Lytechinus pictus: one gene and its partner. The protein of the gene in region 2 interacts with the protein of the main gene of each other region in a pairwise test. Links are inferred from orthologs where the notes say so. Each region holds a gene or a part of one and is shown on either strand. Other genes may lie near its edges.

Region 1 (3,760 bases), on a different chromosome or scaffold from region 2:
AAAGAAAATAATACAAGGAAAATCCTAATGGAATAGAAATCAACCTTGTTATCGTTCTTTAGAGTTAGCTATGTTTAAAGTATGAAAATTGTTGTCAAAATTGCAGTCAGATGTAAAAATTATTCTCGTCATCAAAGCACTATTATCTTGATCATGACCATTATTATTTACTGTCATTATCATCATATGATTACAACACATTACCAATACATAATGCTATTTTTCATAACTGATGTATTCTTTGTTTGAATTTCTTGATAATGGTGACAATTACAATTGATGACACTGCTAGTACACTTACTACTGCTGCTGCTACTTTTACTGGTGATTGGTAGTATTGACCATTAGTGTTATTAAATATATATAAAAAAAAAACAATTGAAACATTTATAATTACTTATTTAAAACAAATGAGAGTACAAAATACAAAATGCCTTGAAAAAGCCTTGAAAATGCCTTGAAATTTCAAGGCTCAAAATCCTCAAAGCCAAGGCTTTGAATAAGTAGCTAGGCATTAAGGCGCCTTAAGGCCAAGGCCGAGCATCAAGGCACTACAACACTGATTAGTACTAGGCATTAATTAGACAGGTCCAGATTTGAGGTAAAGTTAATGCGCTAGCCTAAGCTAGTCCTACCCTATCACATGTCTTGCCATTAATGGCAGCTAGTTTATTAAGTGTTTAAGAATTGGATATATATATATATATATAGATCTAAGCATATAAGACCTATGTAACTATGTAAGGGTACCGGTAATTTGACGATGCTAATTCATTCTGAGCAACGTGAATGCTTACGATCGGCACTGGTCGAGGCCAAGTCCACTGCGCATGCGTACTCTCAATCCGAAGACGCAAGTCATGAATATTCATATGTTGGTCCAGAACTCGGTGGGAAAAATAATTTCGCTGGCCGGCCCCGAGCTAGAGATGGCAGTGTTCAACATGGCCACCTCCTGCTGCAATGCCCCACAACTTTCAGAAATTTTTGAAGAATCGAGGAAAGTACAGAAGGAGTTAGAACATTCATCAGGACCATCAAACAGTCAAAGCTATCAGGTTGGGTTTCCCATGATTCTTTCAACTGTTGGTCGAATGTGAAAAACCAGTTAACGGTACCGGTAGGCTTAACGTTAGGCTTAACGTTAACGTTAGATCTTTTTATTTAGACTAATTAGTTTGCCCGAACGTTATCTTGCCAGTCCCATCCATTGTTTTTCTCGTAAAAATAGCCGTAACGTTAACTTAGTCATCTTATTCTTAGTTTTTCTGACTTTTTTTTTTTTGGGGGGGGGGGTACCGTATGGGCACTAGTAGTATTCAACTCTGCATAATTCAAAGATTTTGACATATTCCCCAAAATATTTAGAAATAGGTTAGGGAATTTATCTTAATTTCATATTTCCAGCAGTCTAGAATCCAGGCATGCCAGGCCCAGGGTAATCTGTTGTGTTGTTTGATTAATTCCCTGTGAGTGTTTGGTCTCATCTCAAATGGTCTAGTCCATAGACGGATGGGACAAGGGCAGATTGAGAGACAGGGCCATCTTTCATCGCTAGGTTGAATACTAGTGTAGTGCCGACGGATTGAATACTAGTGCCAAAAACCGTCGCCGTATAATTCAATCGCCCACGCACACATTCAACTGATTGAAGAAAAAAATAACGGAAAAAGAATAACCAGCATTTGCTCTTGGAAATAAGATGGGTCTGAAATTCAGGTAAATTCTATATTTCTATATATTTGAGGAAACTCTCCAAACGGGTTGAATACTAAATTACTACTAGTAGTGCCCTTACGAGTTACGGTAGGATGGGGGATCGGGTGTCCGGACACTTTATATTTTTGAAGCCTTCTTTTTTGTCTTTGGATTACACTAAAAATATGAATTCAATAGTTATAATCATCTTCGATTTTGTTCTCTCTAATATTTCCTAACATTTTGTATGATGGGGGGACCTAAAGCTACGCACTTTGTTTCCAAATGATAAAAACTATGCCAATTGTAATATTTGAACAATTATTTTTCACTAATTTGTAATAAATATTCTAAATATCCTTAACCAAGAAGAAAATATCACAAAACTCACTAATACGAAAATCCCGCCGTGTTTTCCGAACACCTCTTAATTTCGCCGCCCGATGTAGAAGGGGTCCTAAAGCTACGCACTCAATTTATCATGCAAAGAAATAGTATTTCCTGTGCCTCAATTTCTAAAATATGTCCGTATTATTATAGGAAAATATGAAATCAAAGTGAATATAACTCCGAAATTCCAAACATTTGCTGGTTTTCTCTGCATTCAAGGATTTATTGCAGCCTCTGTAGAAAAATTGAATAGGGATCGTTCGTCACAGCTTCACACACAGAGCTAGAGTGCGCATTTATTTTGCCATTGGAATTGCATGCGCGATGAGTGGTGCGTAGCTTTAGGACCCGCGTAGCTTTAGGACCCCCAACCATACTAAAAATTGATGAAACTTCGCTTGTAAATTTTTCCAAATTACTTTCTAAAATTGATCGTCCGGACACACAACCTGTCCGGACACACAACAACTGGGTATACAGTAGTTTGAGGCACATTGTTTAAAAATTCACCATCTACTTTTGTTTTGATAAGTTCAAGTTCAAGCTCTTCATAGGACGATCTCGGTTGGAACTTAGGACTCAGTCATAGGAGCAGATTTTTTAGTCAAAGAGTAATTTCTGACTGGAACAAACTGCCTACAGAAGTAGTGGAGGCAAAATCAGTGGAAATGATTAAACATCTGTTGGATAAATTCTGGTGGGGGGAAAGATTTAAAACCTCCATTTCTCAACGCACGTAAAGTTTCACAAGTTTAAACTGTTTAGACCATCAATTACCAAAGTAAAGATCGGAAAATCTACAGGAGACGTCCTTCATTTCCGTACCTGATGTGATGTGATGTGATGAAGGATTTTTGTTGTCATCCACACACAAAACAAATGGGCTTCTGACCTCAGTGAGACAAAATTTTGGGTGGAAAAAATTACAATTTTGTTGGTGTTTCTTTTGTTCTTTTGCGAAGCAAGTCTCTAATATGGGATATTGTCTCCCCTATTGGAGAGAGTCTCCCATATTGGCCGTGCGCCTCTACTGGTTGGCTCCAGTCACCAAATACAGAGACCGAACTAAGTTCTACTTCTAGCTCGATCCACACACGTACATGACGTATTGCGAGGTTGTACCTCGCACCATGAACCGCGTTTGGCAGTGGATTTCTAACTAGTGGGTTGCGCGTGCTGGGATCTCACTTCTGGAGTCCACAACACACGACTTCAATGGCTTGATTTTTCTGTACGCGGCAGCATGAAATGAACCCTGGGGGGAGCTCGATCTGCACTCACACATGCATGCGAGGTCACTCACACGTATGGTAGGGGGCACTCACACATGTTGCGAGGTTATTATCAGTATACTACTAACCTCGCACTGCGAACCGCGTTTGGCAGTGGATTTCTAACTAGTGAGAGTAGTGGATCGCACGTGCTGCGGATCCCACTTCTGGTGTCCACAACACATGACTTCTATGGCTTGATTTTTCTGTGCACGGCGGCATGTAATAAACCCTGGCCTTGGCTTGGGCACTCATTCAATGAACAAGATTATGATATAATCTCAATTCAATTCAATTCAATTTGCATTTATTTCATTCTCGATAAAAACAATTATAAAGCAAGGTATGAGAAACAATATATTTACAAGCAAGAGTAAAAATGAAAATGAAATGGGGAACTG
Region 2 (3,760 bases):
TAGAAAGTCAATATTTTCTAAACAGGGGTTTAATCTGGTCAATCGATTACTCTAAAAAGATAAAATATCAGTCCATTCTTGGTCCTAAAAGACTGACATTACATGACTTCTAATACATTTCCAACATGAAAATAAGTAGGCCTACATGGGACTGTACTGTGTATTTTAGTGTTGTGAAATCACTTGGCTTTGATCTTAAGAACAAGACGGAACTGATAATTTATCATTTCATTTTCAGTAATTGACTAGATTAAACTTATTTTCAGAAAATATTGACAATGGAAAAAAACATTTCAAATTCGGAATATAAATTTTACCAGTATAGTAGCAGCTGAGAGCAGTTTGACATCCTGTTTCAACTTTCCAATCCATATCAACTATTTCTGGAACGCGATCATGGAACATACGTTGATTTGCTATGATTTTTTTTGTCTTTTCCGTTCTTTAAAATTCTATTCCTTCCCTCATCCTTTATCTCTTATTTATTTTTGTTAAAGGAGAAATGATGATGAAAATGTTTATGAAAATATTCTTTACAGAAGTCTCTGAATATTGGAGACAGTGGCGTAACTACGGGGGGGAGGGGCACACCCAATCAGCTGCCCCCCCCAAAAAAAAAAAAAAAAACTGGGAAAAGGAGAAAAAGAGGGTCTGAGCTCGGACCATCGCACATGCGATGTTTTGAAATCGGCAGCAAATTATTTATATGTGTGAGGAACTCCATGTTGGCGCTAAATCACAAATTTTTAGGCTAACCGGAGGATGGATATGGAGTGAAATTAGGGTGTAAAGTAAGAAATTAAGCTTTTATTCTTTTTTGATGCCTTTTCGTTGTATAATTTTTACAATAAATATGCATTTTTTTCCAACCTTTGCCACTCGGGAGTATCAGAGCGAGTTCACCACCTTGATGTTCGGCCTTCGGGTAGGCCTGGTACGTAGGTGGAGCGTAGTGTACCAGAAGGGCAATTCCTTAAAATGATCAACCTATTTGTACATCCGACCCCCAATTTTTTCAAGTCTTACGTCACTTTATAAACTGACCAAGTCATGATCCTATTCCTAAGTTTGAGAAAATTACAGACTGTCAAAAGAAGTAGAAATCAGAGACAGAAAATTTAATGAAGGTCCCATATATTGGGGGTCGGATGTACATATTTTATGGAATTGCCCAGTACTCAGTAGTGAAGTGGAGCCTGCACGAACATCAATTCTGAGGTACATGTAGGTGCAAATGAGCAAATGTGAAATCGTCGTAGGATGGGGGGTCGGGTGTCCGGACACTTTATATTTTTGAAGCCTTCTTTTTTGTCTTTGTATTACACTAAAAATATGAATTCAATACTTGTATTCATCTTCTATTTTGTTCTTTATAATATTTCCTAACATTTTGTACTAAAAAATTACGAAACTTCGCTTGTAAATTTTTCCAAATGACTTTCTAAAATTGATCGTCCGGACACACAACCTGTCCGGACACACAACAACTGGGTATATTCGTTGTTCGCCGATTTAGATCTAGACTCCGAGAGTTGAGAATACGCAAATTGAATCGCAGTCGCCGATCGAAACATGAGAATCTGCAATGCCAATGATCTGCTCAATTTTGTGCACAAATGAGACGAAATTAAAACAGCGCCACGAAAACTAGGTAAAACTAAAAACTGATAAACATTTACACAGATACAATGCTTAGAAAATTAGGTGGTCGATAAGGGGTAGTTCCAACCATACAGTACCGTACCGTGCCAGTGCGAGTGCAGTGCGAACGGCAGCGGGAAGCGACAACTGCTTAGCGCTTAATGCTTGCCTCTGGCTCTGCCGGTTCCCCTCGCCAGCGCCAGAGGCGCGACAGGGTACGGTACGTACGGAGACTCATCATAAATTTAAGTACCGGTAAGACCAAGGTATGTTATTTCACCGGTCGAAATCATGGCTCATCTTCACCATCAAAATACATAGAACATCATGTACAGAATCTTATATAAAATAATAACTTAATTACATAAATATTACCTTTCAAAAATAAGGTGTGCGGAGTCCCTATTCGCCAGCGGTTCCGTGCGTGCCATCCACCACTGTATAGTGTCGGCTTCTGCCTTGCGCTAGTGTATCCAAATGGCTCGGCTTGGTAAAAAACGTAAGGATAGCGGTCGGATGTGCTCGCATATACTTGTTCGAATCGCCTAATCTTTGGTATAATGCCGGTATAATATGACGTGTAGTTCTAGAAAACAAACCCAATTAATCAGGGGCCGCGGAAGCGGGGGGGCTTCAGCCCCGCTTCAGCCCCCCCCCCCCCACTTTTTTCCAAAACCGTGTACAAAAACGTAAAAATTACCATATGATTGTGATTTTTTGCATGGTCAGCCCCCCTCTTTTTGGTTCAGCCCCCCCCCCCCTACTTTGAAAACCGTTCCATGGCCCCTGTCAATCAGTTTTATTGTGACAAGTTTTAGAAGACAAATAAGTATCATGTTAACATTTCTGATAAAAATATTTATTTGACATGATATTTTATATATATGTGGTGTTTACTCATAGAATAATTCATCATGAGTAGAATAAAATCATGTTTATATTACAAGTACACTGATACTATAGACTAATTACGTGAACGTACGACTGTTTCGCGCGTGCGCTATAATATCATAAAAGGTCAAGGAATACTACTTGTACTTGTAAGATATTACTGGTAATTTGTTGTACATAATGTAAATCATCCGGATATCATCGGAGCCGGAGTTCGCGATTATGTAAAATCATAGTGGGATAACATGCTTGGAATTATAAGAGGAAATTTTTCAGTTTAAAAACAGAGATAACTTATTCATTGGAGATATCAAATGGCCCTACTAAGTGTTTAATTTGGCTTGGAATTGACATTAATATGTAATCGACGGACAATGATGAAACACGGGACTATTGGATTTGTTTGGGAATGGCATTCCGACTTGCATACTTCAGATGCTCAGCTGCTGGCATGAAATCAAGCGCCCCGAACGTTCTATGCGATACAATCCGGGATGCATGATGCAATGTTGTTTGGGATACCACACTGCAAAATTAGAGCAACCGGCCTCCACCAGATAGCCTACTACTCGTAGTTGGCACTTGGCAGCTGTGTTAGGTTTCCAGCCCCCCCCCCCCCCACCCCCCCGGGGTCAAGTATATTGCTTTACACATGCGTGACCAAAAAAAAACGCGTTTAAACTTTTCCCCGGGGTCATATTCTGGCGACAACTTTTATAGGGGCCAACATGTGTAAATAAAGCCCGCGAAAATTAAACTTGTTCAGGTGGTTATTTTGCACACAGAGAAAAAAAATCGTTTGGGGATGTTTGCTAATAATTTGGTCACGCATGTGTACAGCCGCCCCCCCCCCCCTCCTGCCCCGCGGGTCCATGTAGGCCCTTATATAGCTATGCAGGGTTTCAATAAAGAGAGGTTCGATGATCCCTTCTAGTTGAGTTCCCTCCCCTGTTTCTCTTGCTTTTGAAATGTTTAGGGTCCAATCGAACCCGTACGATACGGGCTTGGTTTCTAGCTGATGTCACGGGCCGGGGTAACGGGAAGTCAAGATCCTAACGTGCCGACCGCGATCGATGCTACAACTTAATCATTAGGCCTATCCGGGGGCCTATCGGACAAATCCACTCCAACAAAAAGTTGATTTGAATAAAAATCCAAGGAGCCTACACTGACAATTTCAAAATCGGATGTAAAATAAGAAAGTTATGACATCTTAAAGTTTCGCTTA

Evidence for each region. The genes of interacting proteins can lie anywhere in the genome.
Region 1: the proteins of serine/threonine-protein phosphatase 4 catalytic subunit (region 2) and immunoglobulin-binding protein 1-like interact in binary tests that used the Caenorhabditis elegans proteins (3 or more experiments, as listed by UniProt). The link is inferred for Lytechinus pictus from reciprocal best matches to the Caenorhabditis elegans genes pph-4.1 and ppfr-4.

Annotation. Positions count from the first base shown.
Region 1 is NC_087247.1:81,320,354-81,324,113, reverse strand, and holds the start of immunoglobulin-binding protein 1-like, read left to right. Parts: upstream 1-1,652; 5' UTR 1,653-1,719; intron 1,720-3,760. UniProt on the Caenorhabditis elegans protein: Probable regulatory subunit of serine/threonine-protein phosphatase PP4 which may play a role in meiosis and embryonic mitosis.
Region 2 is NC_087246.1:5,138,159-5,141,918, reverse strand, and holds the start of serine/threonine-protein phosphatase 4 catalytic subunit, read right to left. Parts: upstream 2,365-3,760; 5' UTR 2,017-2,364; intron 1-2,016. UniProt on the Caenorhabditis elegans protein: Protein phosphatase which plays an essential role in meiosis and in early embryonic mitosis.